Linked DNA regions of Lepisosteus oculatus. The protein of the gene in region 2 purifies or fractionates together with the protein of the main gene of each other region. This does not show direct contact. Links are inferred from orthologs where the notes say so. Each region holds a gene or a part of one and is shown on either strand. Other genes may lie near its edges.

Region 1 (7,731 bases), on a different chromosome or scaffold from region 2:
GCGGGCCCTGCCGCGTTCACACCTCCAGGCAGGCCGTGTCACGGCACCCCGGAGCAGGAACCGCGGGATTCCCGTTTGACACATCCAGCACGGCCGAGGTCTTGGGTGTACAGGCCTGCGCTGAGACCCAGTCCCGCCCGGCTCGTTTTAAACCCCACCAGCCCTGGCACAGGAATGCCCCGCCGGGATTCGCGATTCGCCCGCGACGAATGGTGACTGGAGACAGCTGGTGGTCGAAAGACTAAAAACCTGGCCCATTTCAATGCAAGTGAGCTTCACCTGATCTACAGAAACCTGACAAAAGCACCATGACAAGCGTTCTTTACCTCTTCGTCTTTTTAATTTACTCATCAGTGGCAATGGGAGCCCCCTCCTGCACCAGCGGCCCCTCCTGGGAGACACACAGCCCCCTCCAGCACCAGCGGCCCCTCCTGGGAGACACACAGCCCCCTCCTGCACCAGCGGCCCCACCTGGGAGACACACAGCCCCCTCCTGCACCAGCGGCCCCACCTGGGAGACACACAGCCCCCTCCTGCACCAGCGTCCCCACCTGGGAGACACACAGCCCCCTCCTGCACTCCCTTCGTGTTGCAGCCTCCCGCACTCTTTACTCCAGAACAGGACTGAAAATCCTGCTGAGGGCTTGAAGGGTTGGGCCCCTGACTACAGCCAACACCCTATACACCTGTGCTCTTCGGACTCGGCTCTGCTCTCACGTCCCAGCGCTCCCAGCCCTCAGCGGAACTGCGCAAGTCACTCCGCTCTCCCCGACGCCTCTCAGAGGTCTCTTTCGCACTACGGCTTTTCCCTCCGTTTAATTTACTCGTGTTGCGCGCGTCTCCGGTGTTGCCTTTCCGTCACTGCGAAGTATGTCACAAAAGGCAGGGTATAAAAAGATTAATGAATAAAATTCACGTTGCGGCACTTATTAATCAGACTACAACCGCAGCCCCGGAGGGGACACTTGTCGAGGGGGTTTCAAGGTCTCCTTACATCAGCACCGGCAGCAGAAAAGTTGGGAGACGCTGCTGAAGTGGCCCAGTTGAACAAGTAACCACCCAGTCCAGCTCAGGCTGATTTGGCTTGAAAACCTGCAGATACACTGGCCCCACCAGCGCCAGGGTCAGGCTGGTAGCTGTCATAAAATTAATTAGGTGTAAAGGACTTTGAGTCCTATATGGCTAAAAAAAATAATGAGGTTAATTGCTTAATGGTGGCCTCAGGTTATAACAAACCGCAGGTCCCCAGACTGCAGCTTTCACCTCATCTAAGAGTGGGACCCCCCACCCCCACATCACGGCTGACTCCCACTTTACCACTCAGTTACTGAAGTTACTCTTGAGCTCGCAGATCCCCACAGCATCTCACAAAAAAGGGGGGAGAGGGGACGAGGGAGGTGGGGGGCACTGAGCTAACTGGCTGAATGAGAATTTGGTTCCGATCAGGGAGAGCAGCGTTCCCATCTGACACGGGGGTCAAGACACCACACCTGTGTCACAAGGGTCAGCTCGTCTGAACGCCGCCCCGCATGTCTTCCTGCGGATCCCTGCCAAAAACACACACACACACGAGAGAGAGAGAGAAGCACAACTCCAGACACGCCGCTGAAACCCACTTCCACTCCAGTCCACACGTCATAGGTCCAGAGCAAGCTCTTCAGAGAGCCACCCTCCTCGCCAGCAGCTCCCACAAGCAGCCGGGACCCCTCCGGCATCCCGGCCGGGGGAATTCCCTTCCCATCCCAGGGGAGCAGAAAACAAACAAGCTGACGGCCTGCCGTGGCACCGACACAGCCCACACAGGTCCGAGCGGCGACCCGGGACGCCCAAACCCCCGACCTTAACACGCTGGCCGCGGTCCAAACCGGGTCGGGCTGAGCTGTCCGAGCAGAACCGACACCTCCCGCCCGGCTTGCCCCCACCACCCCACTCCCAGCTCCTCACCGGCGGCAGAGGCCGTCCCGAGCCGGGACTGTGCGCCCTGCCGCCTGGGCTCAATAACACACAAGGTCTGGTAGACACACACGAGAGAACAGCGTAACAACAAACGGGCTCACCTCCTCTCGCCCCTCCGCCGCGGCGCCGGGTGACCTTTCTTTAATTTTTGGTGGTGTGTCGCCGTCTATGAGCAGTTCCGAGTGGCAGTGAACGAAGGCCCCGGGACTGATCCCCGAGCTCTCCTCGACGTTCTCCGCCGGCGTGCGAGCCCCGCCGCCGGGCTGGGCCAAGCCGCACAGCCCGCGGACTCCGGGGGGGCCTCGGCTGACGATGCCGGGAGGTGGGGATGATGCCCCAGAAGCTTACAGACGGGTCTTCCCTCTCATGGTATCCACCGAGACCCCGGCAAAACAACCCCGTGTGCGGCCGCCCCCCCCCCGCAGGAAGAGGGCAGGTTTCTCCACACGTCCCGTCCGGACCCGAAACACCCGACACGACGGGGCTACAACCCGCCGGAGGAGCCGCTGAGCCTCGGCCGAGCCCCGCTCTTCCTCCTGCCCGTCTCGCCGAGGCGGACTTGAACAGATTCTGTTACTCGAAGAAGGAGACGCGACAGTCCCGGTCCAAGCTCAGGGGGGCCACTCGCCGTCTCTTCCAATTGATGTTTATTTGGGTTTCATCAACGAACTGTCCTCCCCTCCGCAGGCAGTCGTCCCTCCCGGTCTCGTCTCTGATCCGCTCTTCGAAACGAGCGGAGAGCGGGAGCGGAGCTTTTCTTCAAATCTGCGGTTATCGGCCGCTGGGCTCGTGCGCGACACTCCGCTGGTTTAAAAAAAAAACGAGCCCAGAAAATCCGGCACGAGCAACACTTCAGGTTTCGCCCCCCCCCCCTCTGCTCAACTCCCGAGGACACGCTGGAAGCCCCGCCTCCCCGCAGCTGCCATTGGCTGAACCAGCTCGTCACTCCAAAACAACACAGCCAGTGAGGTGCCTGGAGCGCTGCGACTGACAGCCAAATGGGTTAAGAAAATAGGTGACCTTAATCCCTCCCACTTTGATTCAGTTCACACTCCATGATTAATGTGATGTGTGTGCACTTCGGGGACGTGGGTGTGATAACATTCAAAATACATAGATGTGTAGACCATTTTCTGTCAAGAAGTTAATTATTACATATACATTTAAACATATAAATGTCACAACCGAAGAAGACTCCACAGTCGAAACGTTGTCTCCTTTCTTCTCTTTTCAGCATGGAATAAACCTTTAACTTGTTCCTTTGCAGCCTACACATGCTGACGCAGCTATCTACTTGAACTACATATGCAGATCCAATATCATACTGGTTTTTCATAACAGATGTTTGTGATGAGTGCCTGTCACACTGAAGGACTGTCACATTTAGCAAACATGTTGGATCACACAACCAGCTGTGTTAATTCTGTAACCAGAATTCCTAAAACCACAAGACCCTGCTGAGCCCAGAGAAGAGCCCCCTCAGCCAGCTGGTCCTGAGGCTCACTGACACCAACCTGTCTCACGCCAGCACAGCTAAAACAGCATGAATCAGTCAACCAAATCACAACACAAGCCAAACAACACTACCCCTCTCACTGGGACTCACACACAAACATAACAACAACTGGAATGCTATAGAACCCTTAGTGATACACACTAGATGAGCACCTAACCAGGCAAAGAGAAAGAGACCCTGTGCAGCTCTGTGTGACCACAGCCTGGACACAGAAACTGGACACAGACAGACCTGTCTGTCCAGAGAGGACAGGCTCAGTGACCACTTCAGTATGTGATCTCAGGAACGGACAAGAATGTTTTATGTGTTGTACATAAATGTCCAATAATATATTTGTACTGTAAATGTGTATAAATAGTGATATCTGTATTTGCTATAACTCATCAGTCAGGCCAATAAAGCTCTTCGAATCTGAATGTGACAAAGTGAAGGACTAACAGAGTCTGAGTGACCATTATTGACTCCCAGTGTGACAAACGCACAGACACTGAATGATGTGCTGACCAACACTCTTTAATTCCACAGCTGAAAGGAATGTCCTAACTTGACAGGCCAAAGGAATTGAGCCTTTTGGACCGTGAGGAGACCTGATACGAGTATTCACAATCCTGAAAAACACATTGACAGTTCTAACCTAGAAGAATCAGCAGATAAACAGGAACAAGAAGAGTCCAATGGAAACTACAGCGAAGAGCATTTAAAACCAAAAATGGGAGGCCATTCTTTACACAAAGGGTTGTGGGAGTGTGGAACAAGCTTCCCAGGCACGTTGTTGTCTGGTTTCTTTCAAGACACATGAATGAGATTATTAGATAAATTATCAATCAGCCTAGATGGGCCGCAATTTAGAACTGATCCTCTAGTTTAGAAGTGTTTTTCTGATCTGGTGCTTTTGCACAGAACTCTCAACACCCGTCTTAAAAACTGTATAAAACGGCATTCAACTGCCTTTCTCCTGAATCGGTTGATTCAAACAGTGACTTTGCTACACCTCTCACTAATGCAAAATGAACAGCTTTTTTGTAGCAAATAATTTTTTTATTAAAAATACTCCAGAAAAAAAAATCAGCTTTGTTAAAACAAGCAAACCTTCTGATTTGTGCAGTCAGAGTGCCAAATCTGTAAAAGAGCTGTTTCCAGGAAAGACAAAAAACAGAATTTCCCGCTGCTGAGTAAGAAACCGTGGCAGCTCCTGGATGTGTTTCTGGGTGGGGTGATGATAAAAAACACAATCTCCGCTGACTTACTCAGAGCCCGTCATGAAAGTACTGGGGCAAGGTCACTGCTGGCTCCACGTCTCTGTCTCCGTTCAAGCCCCTGGACGTCAAGCTGCTGCAGGGGCTCCTGGGAACCGCCCCCCCCCCCCCCAACCCCCCAAACCGGGCTTTAAAACGGTCACTGTCCGTGCGCGAGACCGCCTGAGCCAAGCCGGCCCGGCGCTCACTTCAGGTCAATGAAGCGGATGTCCATGATGAGCAGCACGTGGCGCGGGAGGGGCCGGGGCGCGGGGGACAGCACGGTCATGACCTGGTTCTGCGTGTCCACCGCCGTCACCACGATGAAGCCGCACACGGGGCTGTCCAGGATCCCGCCCCCGGCCGCCTTCCCGCCCCCCGCCTCGGCCCCGCCCTCCTCGCCCCCGCAGCTCACGCTCAGCACGTGGTGCGCCAGGTCCCGCCCGGGCGTGACGGGCACCAGCTTGAGCTGCGTGTCGTCCTGGGACATGCCCAGCGGCAGGCAGGAGTCCGGGATGGAGGGGGCGCCAATCTTGTAGATCCGCACGTCCGAGAAGCGCACGTCGAAGGCGTGGGGGAAGAAGGAGACCCCGCGGAAGCCGTAGAAGTACTCCCGGATCTTCTCGTCTCGCGCCTCGCGACGGCACTCCTTGGAGCGCTCCACCACCTGGAAGAGAGGGGTTAAGTAGTTAATGAGTTATTGGGGAGGAGCAGTGGCTCTGTGGCTAAGGATGTGCGCCTGTGGCTGGAACGTCAAATCCTACTCTGTTGGGCCCCTGAGCAAGGCCCTTAACCCCAGCTGCTCCAGGGACGCCGTATAAATGGCTGACCCTGCGCTCTGACCCCCAGCTTCTCTCTCCCTGTCTGTGTGTCTCATGGAGAGCAAGCTGGGGTATGCGAAAAGACAAATTCCTAAAGCAAGAAATTGTATATGGCCAATAAAGTGATGTTATGTTATGTTAACGAGCTGCGAGTGCCTGGCCACGCTGGCGTGACTCTCTTGCTGCTTGAGCACGCTCGTGTTAGCAGGGAGGACGCCGAGATACAGGAGGCTACTTTTGAGAAAGACAGCCCTTGGTGTCGACACCACCACCATCTCCCACCGTGGGCCAGCAGTTACCCAGCGAGAGGACATGTCGCCAGAAGTGTAGAATTTACATCGAGGGACCATAACAACAATGAGAGGAGGCCATTCAGCCCTTTTGGTAGTTCATGACAAATTGATCCAAAGATCTCATCCGGCTGGGTTTTGAAAGAAGCCAAGGTACCAGCTTCAACGCCACGGCTGGGCAGCTTGTTCCACACTCCCACCACCCTTCGTGTAAAGAAGTGCCTCGTGTCCTGACTGGAGGATCTCGTCCAGCTGCGTCCTGAAAGAAGTCAGGACAGCTTGACGGAGTGGGCAGCCTGACTGGTCAGCTTGTTTCCAATTATCACACACTGAAGCAAGACTGTACAGCGGACCACAGAGGCCCCATTTAAAGTACTTTGACACTGCAGTGTGGCCACTTATATTCCTGGGCTTAAAGGACAATGACAGGGGAAAATAAATTAAATGGGTTTCATCATAGATCCCAGAGGCATCACCAAAGCCTTATGAGTACTCTTACAATACTCCCACTGGGGTGCATGAGCACTGAAGCAGCACTGGAGCACCAGCGGTGTGATGCGATAATCATGAAAATTGCCCGAAGTCAAGCCGTGAGTGCAGTTCGTTCCTACAGTGGTTTTCTGTCAGTGTGTCCTCCTGAGCCCTGGGCCCTGGGCCTGCACAGTGTTTATAACCTCTGCCTAGTTCCCCGCACTGCTGGGCTCAGTGCTGCAACACTGAATTCTGCAACAAAATTAGAATTACTCGGGGATTAAATCCACACTCCAGAAATGAAAATAAAACTCCTATTCTCCACAGCGAAAAGCTCTGAAGGAAGCACTACAGAGCCATAAATAGAGCCCTGTAAGAACACTGCCCCTGGGCATCCTCAGTGGAACGGCACTCCCTGTTTTTAAGAACACTTGGGGTATCACTGAGGACTCCTGGGGCAATACCAGACCACCCCAGAGAGAGTGGGGTATCACTGAGGACTCCTGGGGCAATACCAGACTTCCCCGCAGTGCAGGGTATCACCAAGGACTCCTGGAACAACACCAGACTGCCCCTGAGAGAGTGGGGTATCACCGAGGACTCCTGGGGCAATACCAGACCGCCACAGAGAGAGTGGGGTATCACCGAGGACTCCTGGGGCAATACCAGACCGCCCCAGAGAGAGTGGGGTATCACTGAGGACTCCTGGGGTAATACCAGACTTCCCTGCAGAGTGTGGGGTATGACAGAGGACTCCTGGAGCAATACTAGACAGCCCCAGAGAGAGTGGGGTATGACAGAGGACTCCTGGAGCAATACTAGACAGCCCCAGAGAGAGTGGGGTATCACAGAGGACTCCTGGGGCAATACTAGACAGCCCCAGAGAGAGTGGGGTATCACAGAGGACTCCTGGGGCAATACTAGACTGGCCCAGAGAGAGTGAGGTATGACAGAGGACTCCTGGGGCAATACTAGACAGCCCCAGAGAGAGTGGGGTATCACAGAGGACTCCTGGGGCAATACTAGACAGCCCCAGAGAGAGTGGGGTATCACAGAGGACTCCTGGGGCAATACTAGACTGGCCCAGAGAGAGTGGGGTATGACAGAGGCTCCTGGAGCAATACTAGACAGCCCCAGAGAGAGTGGGGTATCACAGAGGACTCCTGGGGCAATACTAGACTGCCCCAGAGAGAGTGAGGTATGACAGAGGACTCCTGGGGCAATATTAGATTGGCCCAGAGAGAGTGGGGTATGACAGAGGCTCCTGGAGCAATACCAGACTTCCCTGCAGAGTGTGGGGTATGATAGAGGACTCCTGGAGCAATACTAGACAGCCCCAGAGAGAGTGGGGTATCACAGAGGACTCCTGGGGCAATACTAGACAGCCCCAGAGAGAGTGGGGTATGACAGAGGCTCCTGGAGCAATACCAGACTGCCCCAGA
Region 2 (7,139 bases):
TTTTTGCACTGTGAGGACCAAAACTGAACACAATATTTTAAAAGGAAAGACTTTCATCTCTGTAACCTTAAACGGGCTTTGAATTCTACTGCATGATGCCACGTCACTGTAACTGTTTATTTTTACAAAAATAAAACAATATCAACAATGGTGCTTTTATCCAAGTATGTACTGGAAAAGCCTTACAAAGAGACTTTAAGAAAGCATACAATGTGTCAGTGTATTGAGTTAAGATCTAGTACATCTAATTTTACATGTCTGAAGACTGGAATTACATTTTATCTAAAAACAGGCAAAGAATTTAAGAGTTTTTCCTCTAATACAATTCCAGCGTTGAAATTCGCAGCACACATTTAAAACCACATTTAGTAGAATCCATACATTTACAGTACATGCCCCCCTGTAGCGTTTCTACATTGTGCGTAATCTAAGCCTGCAATCATGACACTTTCAAACAGTACTTTGAGAATATATTCTCAAATATTTGAGATATTGAGAATCTGCGCAAAACCCATCCCAACTGATTAAGCTACAAAATATTGTTAAATGTAAATAATCTATTAGATTTTCCAAGAAAATACGAAGATTCTCAAATGTGTAAGTATTCAAAATATTTTCTATGATAAACGGAAATGAATTCAGGTTCTAACAATTAGTCAGAAAATTCAGAAAATCAGTGTAATGGTTGTTCATTACATTCAAAGTGGTTTAATTTGACTTCAGAGTTATTGCATCAGTCTCAGCAGATTTAGATATTGAATTTCAAGCCACGACTAACACAGTGATACACTGCATCAAATCAACCATGAAGACCAAGGTCCTTTCCAAACAAGTCAAGAATAAAGTAGAAGAAAAGATCAGGAACGTTTTACCCAAAAAATCAAAGTTGCTGGTAATCACAAAGTGGAATGCGTTTCATATCATTGGACCTAAGTTATACTGGTTAGAGATGCTACTTTGAGATGAACACTGACTTTAAATGGTTTACAAACTTCTGTGTATGAACACCAATGTCACATATTGACAATATACCAGATTCTATATAAAGCTGTCCTGTATTGGTGAGTGACAAGAAAGACATTAATGACAATGCAACAATGACCCCGAGTTGAATCAGAAAATATATAGCAAAACTTGAAGATTGTGCTCCATCAACAAACCCCAGTAATACTGTCAAACTGGAGCAATTTTTCTCAAAGAGTGGGAAAACAGGACCGAACAAAGCAGTCAAGACTTATCCAAAAAGTCACATCAACAATTACTTCTGAAGCTGCTTCCAGCAAGTACTGACTTAGGAGAGTCTAAGCACTTCTGCACTAGTTTTTTAATGTGTGTATTTTCTTTGAATTTTTACACGCATTTTGCTGACAAAGCCTTTCTTTGTACATTATTCTGATATAACAGAGTTAAGTTTGATCATCACATGCTATTTTTCCACGATTACATAGCTCCCAGAGAGTGCCTATTAATTAACTGCTGCTTGTGCAGGATACCACAGATACCTCAGTTTCAGATTTTCCCCACTAACATTGATATATATGGTATCTGCACACATTAAGAAGCTTGCTAAGCAAGTCATTATGCTTTAGCAAGCACTTAAATGTGTCTATCTAAATGCCAGAAGAAAGTATTGGTCAGGCCAATTATGCACCACAGAGTATAGAGGATTAATAAAAATGCTTTGGCCAAGATCTCATGTCAGTCAATACAACTTTAGTCACTGACTCATCAGTATTACCTTTGCTGAAGCTGAGTGACGACAGAGCATAATGAACAAGGCAGACGTCCTGTGCATTGCCAGAGAGAATGTAACACAATCTGTATAATACTGCAATAGACCTTTGTTCCAATTCACAAGAGACATTTTAAGATTAAGGTGAAGATAGTGTCACAAAACTATCCCATCTAGAATACGGCAATGATTCATGATGTTTGTTGTTAAGACATAATTAAAAACTGTAAATCACAAGAAGTAGACATTCACTGTACATTATTAAAATATATGTTCATTTTAAAATATTTCATTCTTATTGACTGATTGTGTTTGTGGACAGATAAGAGAACTGACATAAAAAAACAATGTATAATCTTTAATCAAACTGAAACATAAACCCCACAACACTTCAACTAGCTAAAAATAAAATAACGCGGATTGTAACTGATCGAAACGAAAAAAAAAACACCTGTAAACATTTAAGCAGGTTTTAATTTGTCCTACTAATACATTCACGATTTTTCTTCAATTCTTCCATACTTAAATGTCATGTAGCAGGTACTTTTAAAATAAGACACTTTTAGACTAAGTCGATTGAATCAATATTTTTTAAAAAACAAACGGTTCCTTTGTTAAAATGTGTTTAGCTTTTAGTACATTGTTAATTTAGCTTCACTTTTCGGCTCCTCATTCATACTTCCCAGTTACTCGACTCATTTAAAAACGTTAGTTGTCTAAAGAAGAAATGCATTTAAAAATTCTGTCATTACCCTCCGAGCAAATACATTTAAACAATGACGTAGGTTAAAGCATGCATTTAACACTATAAAATGCTGTCCATTTGTTTTGATTAAATACTATCAAGAAGAAACACGGCGGATTCTCTCTTGGACAAAGCAGTTGCTGAAGAGCTGTGTTGAACTGATAGCAGACAGCTTTTGTCTTAATGAAATATCCTAACCGACCTTCCTTACAATAATTTATAGGAGCTGAACAGTAAAGTTGTAGATTGTTACAGAAACTGTCAGTGTTTTTCCCCCACCTTATCGATTACAAGATTTGTGCTTTGTTTTTTCAAAAGCAAGTAACATTGTAAACACGCTGGAGCACAAAACGCTGTACTGACACATCACACCAAAACATTAACATGTCACATGGATATTTTAAAAATATACTGTATATTTAAAGGTTTCTCTATTTTTTTTTATTCGCAACCGTTCTAACCAAATAAAATAAACTTAGAACAAAATTAGAACCCTCCCTTACCTCCGCCATGTTGAAACCCCTTTAATTTCTTACTTCCGTACTTCCGCCTTGACTGGTGCACTTACATTACAAGTCCGACTGAAAATTTGAAAAACATGTTCCGCTTGAAGGCCATTATTTTATTAACTCTTTTTTTCAGCAACTGTACAGAATTTAAATTTACTAATGAATTTATTTCGTTTCAGTCTTGTTCCTAAGAGTGGCTTATTTCTTAAAGTGTTTCTAAAAGTTAGAAAATGACTTTTAACGCGGAAAAGCAATCCCGACGATTGCAGAATCAATCGTTTCACTGATTCAAATTTGAGAGGCTAACAACGTTTGTATAAAGCTGCACGTGAGTTAACTCATCGGAACTTTTGGAACTTTTTTTAATTGTCTATCACTCCGCATGAATAGAGCCAAAACTAGATCCCATCAAACTACACCATCTCCTGGTATTTACAGGCAGGGGATTTCCAGGTCATAGGAGCAATACCTTATTGACATTTCTGTACAAGAACAGCAATAAAAACATACAGTACAGCTAGCTGACATTTAGCAACAAGATGTGCGCTAAGGCTTCAAAGAAAAACTGGACTCTGTCCGCCCTAGAGAGCAAGCAGGATTCAGTGCTGGATATAACACACTGAGCTGTCAGCAAGTAGTTGGACAATCATTAAAACACTGGCATTTATTGAATCAACTGCATATGAGAAAGCATTTCACACTCTGTACAACGTACCTGCTTTAGATGTTTAAAAAACAGACATCGATAAACCTACTCAGCACCATTTATAAGATTTCAAGAGTGCTCAAAAGTGTTCGCTCTGATATCACCAAACAACACACAATTAACAGTTTATGCTTGGGTCAGAACACCCAAAAAGGGCATGTGACATCAGAAAAACAATGAATTGGCAATGGGTAGGACACATAAAACATAGAACAGACATTCTCTGGACCAAGGAAATACTGAGCTAGTTTACAAGAGGCATAAAATAACAAGGACAAATGTAAAATTAAAAGGTGAAATCATTATGTTTGCAATAGCAAGTTGGACAAAGATAGCTGTAGGCAAATGTTCATGGAAGAGTCTTAGGGAAGAATTAATCCAGAAGTGGATCAACAAAGGCTGCTACTGTATATGCAGTACTGTATCTCTGTTTCGTTAATTATTAGAGTTATTGGTGTTTCTAGTGAGTTCCCAGCTCAGTTGGGTTACTTTGCCTTTTCAAATGTTTTATTGATGTTTTATTGTCATTACATTTTTTTCCCATTAAAAACTAGGCAAACTGGGAATCTCACCAGGATTTCTAGAAATGTAAGGCATTCAGTCCATTAATCACAAAAATCTGTTTTTTTGCATTGAGCACATTTCTTTTTGCTTCGCTCTAATTCTAAGTGTCTAAATGGCCATGCTTTTGTGCAAGCTCCAATTCGAACTCCAAAAGCATTTTTAACATGACAAAACCTATCAAAATGAGTGACAGGAGTTGGTATTACCACATAATTAAGTGTGGGAGAGAGAATATACAGATTTAAAGTTTAAAAGGCTTAATAATTTATCCAGAAAAAACATGAAGTTCAGTTTCACAGATTCCTCATTGTAAAAAGACAGATTCATGGCATATCTTTTTTTGCATTGAAACCTCCTCTTTAGCAAGGTCAGATGTATATTGTGACCACTGTAGCTGCAACTAATAGTGTTATGAGCTTGAGTGGGGGTGTAAAGATGCTGATAACTTTACAGCAATATGGAATTAGCTCCCAAGCCCATCCTAGCCCCTGTTCCCACCATTTCTGAAATGAGTGACCCCACCTGCTATAATATAGTAAAAAATTCTGGTGGTAGACATATTTCATTTAGAAAAAAAAGTTTTCATGTACCTTGGTTTTCACGTTTCAGGTGCAGCGTAGGTAGGTGTAGGTAGCTAATCTGCCCTAGTGGGAGAAGATTTTCAGTTTATACAACATTTGTGTAAGTAAATACTAGGTTTTCCCCATGGGAAAAAGAGCAATTAAAAATAAAAATCTTTACATTCTACCTTTTTCCTTTTCCTTTCATGAATAGGCACATTTTTTCAGTCACCTATTTCACAGAAAAATTGTATATTGAATAATACCTCTGTTTAATTTTAGTCTTGGCAATTAGCATTAACATCCAATAGGATAAAGACAAAGCACCAATAAGGCTATATAGCATATAATAAGGATTTATAAAGATCATTAATAAAGTTAATAATACACTTGTAAAAACATAATTCAGCAAAAGATTTTGTGGACTGACATAGTTTAAAGTAGTCAGAATAAAGTTATAAATTCTGAAAGAAAGAGCATTATAGATTTGTAAGATTTATTATTGACATGTTAATGACATAAAAGACTAAATTAGAAATTAGATACTTTAGCTCAAATCACTGACTCTATATGCGATTTGTCACAAAACTACCAGTAGACAACTAGACTTATTAACCCTTTCAGACAGCCTGTGTGAGCATTTGTCTGTGTGTTGGGTGGGTTCTCAAGGCCTCATGGGAAAGGGGAACATTAAATGGAGAGCACTGGGGAGGTCACAGTCTGGCAGATCTGTTCATTCTGTATTCATCTGATACCTTTACCCAGCACATTCAAAAAACGGAGAAGAAAGAAAGTTGGGTTCAAAGTGTAGTTCAGGGTGCAGTTCCACTAGACTAGCTTTTCTGGTTCATGAACCCATCATGACTTTCTTCCTGTTTGTGTAGAAACTCAAGCCACTGAGAATGGGCTGACCTTTTCACTTGCGAAACGGTGAGTTTATTTGAATGGCAAGTACGTTATCTGCATGAACCAATTACCCCGTCGACCCCTGGCTTCCTACAAAAGGAGGGGAAAGCTAAAAACTGACGAGAAATGTTAAACGAGTGCTGAGGAGCATTCCAGTGAACCCAAAAAAATTGCATAGAGACCTGTTAATGACACGGTCTGATTTATATGAACATGGTAAGGCCAGGGGGTGCAATAATTTAAAAACATGGGTATTTCCTACCCATATTGATTCAAGCAGTCTATTCAGCTAAGGAAATTAATCCCTAACAAATGGATTATTGCAGTGTATACAAAGAAACACTTGTATTTTAATGCTATGGATTTTTTTTAAAAAATAACTCCATTTGTTATGTTACTGTAGGTATTGTTCTATAAGAAAATTACAATAAGAATACACATTTTATTATTTTAAAAGTTATCATACTGTTTTGAAGCCTCAGTGTTTAAAAATAAACTATTACACATTTGAAACAACTCAGCTAAATAATGAGCAGTTTCAATATATTTCTGTATTGTATGATAAAGAGATGTATTGTTTTATTTGTTCCTTATATATTTCTTAAATTACAGTAGGAACATAACATGTAAAACATTTACTTCATTTATTTTCCCACTTTCAGCAAACACTGATTAAATTTACTGTGTGAATTTAAAAAAATAGTTTAGAATCTAAAATGAATGTAAGACATTCTGCACAAAATTCACTTTAGAAATGCAGTACATTCAGTTTCTGCTTCATTTGTTGAGTTTATCCTTTTTAGTAAGTAAGCAGTATAGATTCTACTGTATTTACAGTGCTGTAGCCCTGATTAAATAAACTCTGTAATAAAGAGAAATTGCTGTGCCAAGATTATCAAAGGGTCAGTTGGAGCTATTGTTTAAAAATGTTTAGAAAGGTATTTACTATTTAATGTCCAAAACATCTTATTAAATCAATTTTAAGCATTTTGTCTGCCTTTGATGGTGTTGAAAACATTTATTTCACTCATGCTCTGTGACACATAGTTACTACATAAGATAAAATAACTTTGTTGCCAAGCTGTTGGGCTTATGTATCCGTTAGATACTGTACTTCAATCCAACTATATATTAAATATGGATGGATCATACAATGCACAGTTTGAATTAACATAAGCAGTTATAGTAAACATGAAAATCATTACTTCTTGTCTGCGAATAACACAAGCACAAACTTGAAATGCAGCGCTTGATAAATACCTTTCTGTTTTTCAGTTTGTGTATCCAATGGAAAGCCGCTCTATAAAGTTGTGGGCTTTGAATTTTCTGTTTGTGGTTGGACTGAAGTTTTAATTTAATCCATCCTTAATTATAAAAACAGTGTAACACAGGAGAGCTTTATTGATTAAATGTTTAG
Region 3 (7,405 bases), on a different chromosome or scaffold from region 2:
GAGCAAGCTGCCCACTCATGAGGTTGAAATGCGAGTGTCTGATTGTTGAGTTACTGAGCAGCTGATTGAGAGCGTAATGTTACAGTGAGCACTACAGCCTCACAGCTCCAGAGGCAGGGGCTCTAGTCCATCTGGGAGCATCTGTCTGTGCGGAGATAGCACGTCAGTTTAGTTCCTGACTGTATCAGTGACTCCTTACACACCTCCTTGGCCTGCTTTTGGTTGCCAGTATGAGGCTCCAAACTCTGGAAGACCCTGGGAGACACAGGGAACACAAGCTTGTGTGTTCTTTTAGTGATCTACGATAAACTAAGATCTAAGATATGATCTTCTCTTTACAGACCTGTTGAACCCTTCTGCATCCTGTCTTATAACTCACTGTTGTACTCTAGATCTTAATTCTGTTTCCCTTTCTGTTGAAATTTGGTTATAAATGAGTATTCTGTGTTATTTTATTTTGGCTTGTTTTTCTTCAAAACTCATCTGGAGGAAGTGTTATGAAAGTTGCAATATACCATTAAGATTAATATTGTTACAGCTTTAGGTGACTTAGAAGTGACTCTTAGATTTCAGATAAAGTCTGTGACACTGGGAAGAGTAAACACTTCAAACGTGGAAGGAGAGAGGATGTTTGCTGAGGTCTGGGGGGGTCCCTTGAGCAGAAACAACTGAACAGTTTATCTTAGCATACCTAGGTAAGTTCTGGGTTAATGATGGCAAAGGAGCAGGACAGAAAATGACAATGTAATATCACATTAAGAGCCCGAGAGGAGGAAGGAAGACAGGAGAAGAAAAAAGAAGAGAGAGGAGCCCAGAGGAGTTGGCGAGAGCCCCTACTTCATGCTCACCCAAACAGAACCTGACTGGAGCCAAGTATTCGAACCTTGTTAGAGAGAGCGCTGTTCTGTGTTTTCAGGGAGCTTGGGTTTCCTGGTACCTCAGTTAGAAACGTCTTTCCTGATTAGGGTGCATTTTATGGATTGGGATATAGGCTCCCATTCATTTTGTGGCATCCAGGGTGCAGAGAGAGAGATTTAAGTGTAGATTGATTCTTATTTAGTTAGAAGGCAGCTCATCTCTTGTGTGGCCTCTGTAGGCATATTAAGAGTTTTGTGCTTAGTAGCAGTCTGGGGGTTTCGGGGTGACCAGAATGTTAGGCCTTGTTTGTAAATACTGTACACAGAGTAACTTGTGTGCTGTGTGTAGTGTAGTTTGTGTTTTGTCATTGTAATAAATATTTGTTTAACCGAGTGTGTCTGGATTAATACTCCTCTCAACAAAGCTGTGCCAGAGGACAAAGAATTCCTATGCCTCCAATTATACCAGCTGCTCGGGTATAGAAATCACTTACAAGTTGGGGGTTCTGAATAATTATTTCACTGATCGACTAGCCCGCTCAGTCAATTCCTGATTTTCACCAGTCTCGTTACCCCCCATTTGTCACAATGTGATGATGGTGTGTGTCCATTTGACACTGCACACGGACAGAGGCAGACCCACCGACAGCTGTGACCACAGTGTAAATATACCAGGCATCTGCTGTAGACTTACTACAGGACCCAGTTACTGTCCAAGTGAGTCAGATTAACACTGCTTTACAGTCTTGATTGAAGAGCTAGGGTTCTCACAGACGGAACTGTCACAGTAAGTCAGAGTAACACTGATCTACAGGCTTTCTTTTCAAATAGTATTTTTGTGACTTCAATGTAGAAAAGCTGCACTACATTTTCAGTTTTTACTTAATTTTTTCAGCTAACCTCAAACGTTTTGCTGTGGTTTGTGTTGACTAGCAAGTCTTTACTCTCAGCATGTTATATTGTTTTGTAAAATGTCACAGTACCTTACAGCACTTTAATGAATTTGTACCAGGAGTTCACTGTACTTTCCTGCTCTTTGTGCTTTACCATGGTTTCACTGTACTTTACTGGACTGGACGGGACTTTTACAAGTATCTTAACCGTAATGTTCGCTGGATCTTACTGTATTGTAGTAAACTTGAGTGCATTGTACTGTATTTTTGTCTTTGATCTCACTGGACTTTACTGCTCTGTACTGCGCTTGTACCCTGATTTCACTGGGCTTTACTGCACTGTACTTTGCTTTTAATTTAATCTCCCTGGGGTTTACTGCACTGTGCCGCTCTTTTACCTTGATCTTACTGAGCTTTGCTGCACTTTACCGTGTTTGTACCCTGGTTTCAGTGGGCCTTACTGCACTGTGATGTGCTTTTACCCTGATTTCACTTGGCAGACTTTCTTGTGCGGTAGCACAAAGAACAGTAAGACGTGACTCTCAGCCTTGAGTTTTACAGTCCCCGCATCAGGTGGGGCTCTCTGCTGCTACGCTTGACACTGGATGTGTTTGAGAATGAAATAATTTAGACCCAGTTCTGGTCAGAGAAGAAGCGTTTTTATTGCAGGATCTGATACACACAGCCTCCTAGAGTGCATAGAAGGATAAAGAAGAAACAATTCAGTGTGGTTAATTCAGCAGATCAATCGGAATCAGCGGAAGCAGAGCTGTGTGATTGATATGACATGCGCCAGTGAGCTGCTTGCTGAAGACGAAAGGGATTCCTTCATTCCTTCCCTCCTGGGCCGTCCCGCTCCTCGTCTCTCTCTCTCTAGCCCCCTTGGCAGCGGTGGAAGGTGATGAACTGGAGTTTGCTGCAGTTTCCCAGCTGCCCCAGGCACTGCTCCGGTCTGACAGGCTTCCCCCGCAGGGCCAGCGACACATCGGGACCCAGATCCGGCAGCTCCGCCCGCAGCTTCACCAGCAGCCGGCCCACAGTGTCGGAGCGCAGCAGCTCCAGCTCCCGGCTCTTCCCACTGTTCCCGACGATGACCTTTGCCATCACAGTGCCCCCTAGTGGCTCCTGCTGGTCCCTCTCTGCCAGGTTCAGGGTCATGGTGGTGTGAACCACACTGGGCCAGAGGTCGCTGTCATATTGACAGCTGGTCTGCTCTGCCAGAGGGAGTGTTGCCTGCAGGCTCCCAGCGGGCTGGAATGAGGAAATGTGTATCTGGGGAAATCCAGGACAAATCAGTCAACTAACTGTCTCTGGCTGTCTGTCCATCACTCAAAACTCAGGTGCAAACTGGAGATCAAAGAGGGAAACCCAATGAGAAAATGTAGCTCATTCTGCCTGAGTATAGGTGACTGTGACTAACACACAGCTCTGCTATTGACAGAAGAGCAGGTATAAACTGCAGGATCTCATTCTGCCTGAGTATAGGTGACTGTGACTGACGCACAGCTCTGCTATTGACGGAAGAGCAGATATAAACTGCAGGAGCTCAGTCTGCCTGGATACTGGTGACTGTGACTGACACACAGCTCTGCTATTGACAGAAGAGCAGGTATAAACTGCAGGATCTCAGTCTGCCTGGATACTGGTGTCTGTTACTGACTCACAGCTCTGTGATCGACAGAAGAGCAGGTATAAACTGCAGGATCTCAGTCTGCCTGGATACTGGTGTCTGTAACTGACTCAAAGCTCTGTTATCGACAGAAGAGCAGGTATAAACTGCAAGAGCTCAGTCTGCCTGGATACTGGTGTCTGTAACTGACTCACAGCTCTGTGATCGACAGAAGTGCAGGTATAAACTGCAGGAGCTCAGTCTGCCTGGATACTGGTGACTGTGACTGACACACCGCTCTGCCATTGACAGAAGAGCAGGTATAAACTGCAAGAGCTCAGTCTGCCTGGATACTGGTGTCTGTAACTGACTCACAGCTCTGTGATCGACAGAAGTGCAGGTATAAACTGCAGGAGCTCAGTCTGCATGGATACTGGTGTCTGTAACAGCTATGTTATTACCAGCCTCAGTAAGAGATTTTCAGCCTGGTAAACATACTCTTCCCCTTTCACCAGACTAACTCAGCTGGCAGTATGCACGCTGTGTGCAGAGGCAAGAAGACACTCTTCTGATGCAAACTCTCTGTGATCCTTTGAAAAGCAAAGTTATCACGTCTCGTTATATATGGCCAATAAAGTGATCTGTTCCTGTGTCTTCTTCTCCAACCGCTGCTATCTTCTCCACACTGAACACAGACCGCACAGCTGCACAAGAAGCGGTCGTACAAGCGAATTCCCCAGGCACCCAGAGTGGGGAGAACACACCTCGCACACACACCACACAAACTGCTCCGTCTTAGTTACGAAATAAGAGTACACAACAGCCATCGCCCCCGGTGCCTGCTCGCGTGGAAGAAGAGGGATGGTGATAAAACAGACCTGTTTCTGAGTGCACATCGCCATGATCTCTCTTGACTTCTCCCTTGGCTTTGAGTGCTGCTCTCCGTATCAGCTTTCTCTTTCTCTTTCGGATCGAGCGCCGGATCTTATAAGCTGATCATGACTCCACCCTGGGGGGGAATTCCTCGACCTCTCGATGTACTTTCACTGGGCTAATAAACACCACAAGGAGCCAGAGATCTCCGATCCTCTTTTTCTGATAAGAGACCCTCAGCCAAGGTCAGTGTCAGACCCAAAGAGGCAGAAAACGTACAGCTTCTAACAGGAACCACAGACAGGATCTCACAGTGCCTCTGAGATATGTTTATACTTCTGAGGAGACAGGGACAAAATGATCACTGAAAGTCTTACAAGCTGAATAATGGGTCTTGCTCAAACACTAATTCTCACAGCATCAGACTGTAGTTGTCCTGCACAGATAAAAAGTCGTATTTGTCATAAATTATTACTTTACACCTGTAAATATTCCTTAAAACAAAATCCAATGTCCAAGATTAAAAGAGAGTTAAGGCATGGAAGACATTCAATAGTAGCATGGCAGTAGAGGCTCTCAGAAAGCTGAATCTATCACTTTCCACTGTAAAATCTATCATTAATGATCTCACTCATAAAGTGTCCACTCTGCCCGGAAGAGGGCACACTTGTCTATTGTCACCACAGGCTATGAGACAAGTGGTTCTGGAGACAGCAGTACAACTAAAAGTTCGCAAACAGTTGAAGATCTCCAATGCACTTGGGGATATTCAGGATACAAAGTGTAGAAAACTGCCTTTCAAAGTTGCTTGCCTGAATGCGACATTCATACCTGGGCATCTAATTTTCTATACAATTCATAGCAGAAGCCTCTTCTGAGGGTGAACCATAGACTGAGGTGACTAAGGCTTGACATCACTGGATCGACAACTGAAGCCATGTCCTGTGCTCAGTTTCCATGAAAAGTGAGCTGTCTGGGCCGGGTCCGGACAGCAGTCTGGACCAGTGCTTTCCAGGACCAGCGCTGAGGATCCCTGGACTACCTGGGTCGGACCAGAGTCCTGGAGGAGTGGTAGTAGTCTTTAGTTATGAATGTCAGGGTGCACTTACACATGGAGATCACCAGGGACTTCCAGTCTGAGAACAGGAGACACGTCTTTACACAAAGGTAGAGGCAGTGAGAGGTGGCTTTTGAAACATTTTGCGTTTATATTAGACAATATTGTGTCTAAACGAGAAACCAGATAACATTGTGTTAAAACGCAATAATTAATTTCTAAACAACATTGCCTACAATATTATATCTTGCATTAAACTCTATATGTAATAATGTTGCCTCATGCAAAGTAGCATTGACTTGAACAACACAAGAATATTGTCACACTCCTCTTTGTGCAAAAAAGACTTAATCAAATGGAGCACGTGGACTGTTTTTGCACACAAGAAGTAAAACACTCTGTCAGTGAGCATTCCTGGATTTAAACGCGTGTCATTGTCACAATTACCGTGAAAACCATGAATGGCATGCCTTTCCAATCGAATGTTATTCTAGAGGTGAAACTGCAGCAGCATGTGTGTCTGATCTTCCAACCATGCACGGAATACAACAATGATGACTTGGCAGCAAGACACAGTATCTACTCTTAGCGTACTGTTAAACCTCAAAAGCTTTTAGACTAGGCTTATTTCAAATGCATTTGAATTATGAGTGACACAGCAAAATGCTGGAAGAGTAATTGAAAGGGAGGAGAAACAGTACTTCTGTGTCTGTTTCCACAGGCGTGAATGTTAAGAGATAGGGGAATGCCGAACTAAAAGAAGAAATCCAGGATGGCACACAGCAGCAATGACAGTAACAGTAAGCCAACAGGAGGTATGAGCTTTGCTGTCAAGTGCTCGTAAATGTATTCCTTTCAATGCTTAAAGAGTAGGCAAAAACCCTCGCTATTTAAGTTATTAGGTCAAGTCAGTCTCCACTTTTCTGGATGGGGGTGATCAGTCCTTGATGCCCTCAGGTGAACAGCCGGCTCTCAGGACGAGGTTGGAGAGTTTGAGCAGGGCCTGCTGCTTCTGCAAGCTGCTATTTCTCAGCCTTTCATTGGTGACTCTCTTTCTGTGGCGGGCCAAGCTCTGCGATCGGGGAGTCTAGGGGGTTTCGGTTGTCTTTGAGTTTGTCATATACTGGATGTTGTTTTGGTTTAATGCTTCTGTGTTTGGGATCTGTGGGTAGAGATTTGCAGAACTGTTTTGCCAGACTGATCCATTTTGGTTGGCTGGGTTTCCTGGTTTTGCTTTATTTAAATGAAATTCAGCTTTTGCCCTAAAGTACTTATTGACTCCTCAACTTGTGAGAGTTGTCTATTTGCGCATTTCTTGTGTGTGTCTGTAGTCAGTATGGCTGGAGCCTGGAGCCTGGAGCCTGGAGCCTGGAGCCTGAAGCCTCCTCTCTGTCCTCTCCCTTCTCACACAGACTGAAAGACCTACCTGCTCATGTACATCATCTCTCAAAGCCAGGGGACTGGCCAGACCCACCCAGCCAATCCAGTCTGCTCCTCTGCCTGTGGCATCTGTTTCAACATGGAGAAACTAGTTTTCAAGGCACTGCAGGACAACTAAGTGCAAGATCAGACAAACCCAGGGCCTCTTCTGGTCTTATAAATGCATAATGTTTCAAATACTGGGAGACAGAAGAAAGGTAAAATTCTCTTCACTCTGCCTATGTCCCATTCACCCCTGTGCAGCATCAAAACAGAAAGCAAAAGCAGAGGAGAACTTTGACTCAAAACATAACGTGACATCAGAAGGGGAACAGAGGTAGTTTCCAAAGACAAACTTCCGTGTTCAAATAATTGCCTGGGCTTCTCAGGCTATGGCAGAGAGTCACACTGTCAGGACACCCCAACACCGAGGGGAAAGATTCACTCCATAGGACACCCCCACACCGAGGGGAGAGTCACTCCGACACCCCCACACCGAGGGGAGAGAGTCACTCCGCAGAACACCGAGACACCCCCACACCGAGAGGAGAGAGTCACTCCGCAGAACACCGTGACACCCCCACACCGAGAGGAGAGAGTCACTCCGCAGAACACCGTGACACCCCCACACCGAGGGGAGAGAGTCAATCCGCAGGACACCCTGACGCCCCCACACCGAGGGGAGAGAGTCAATCCG

The links.
Region 1: the proteins of golga7 (region 2) and zdhhc5a purify together in Homo sapiens (co-immunoprecipitation; 3 studies listed by BioGRID and IntAct, with this or other methods). This does not show direct contact. The link is inferred for Lepisosteus oculatus from reciprocal best matches to the Homo sapiens genes GOLGA7 and ZDHHC5.
Region 3: the proteins of golga7 (region 2) and cldnd1b purify together in Homo sapiens (affinity purification with mass spectrometry; 3 studies listed by BioGRID and IntAct, counting the BioPlex papers as one, with this or other methods). This does not show direct contact. The link is inferred for Lepisosteus oculatus from reciprocal best matches to the Homo sapiens genes GOLGA7 and CLDND1.

What each region holds. Positions count from the first base shown.
Region 1 is NC_090701.1:41,810,166-41,817,896, forward strand, and holds the start of zdhhc5a (palmitoyltransferase ZDHHC5-A), read right to left. Parts: upstream 3,053-7,731; 5' UTR 2,058-3,052; intron 1-2,057. Other genes in the region: polyribonucleotide 5'-hydroxyl-kinase Clp1, read right to left, coding at 4,913-5,374. UniProt on the Homo sapiens protein: Palmitoyltransferase that catalyzes the addition of palmitate onto various protein substrates such as CTNND2, CD36, GSDMD, NLRP3, NOD1, NOD2, STAT3 and S1PR1 thus plays a role in various biological processes including cell adhesion, inflammation, fatty acid uptake, bacterial sensing or cardiac functions.
Region 2 is NC_090697.1:67,434,705-67,441,843, forward strand, and holds the start of golga7 (golgin subfamily A member 7), read right to left. Parts: upstream 3,081-7,139; 5' UTR 2,990-3,080; coding exon 2,981-2,989; intron 1-2,980. UniProt on the Homo sapiens protein: May be involved in protein transport from Golgi to cell surface. The ZDHHC9-GOLGA7 complex is a palmitoyltransferase specific for HRAS and NRAS.
Region 3 is NC_090701.1:44,637,454-44,644,858, forward strand, and holds the start of cldnd1b (claudin domain-containing protein 1b), read left to right. Parts: upstream 1-4,358; 5' UTR 4,359-4,477; intron 4,478-7,405. UniProt on the Homo sapiens protein: Plays a role in negatively regulating the permeability of cells to small molecules.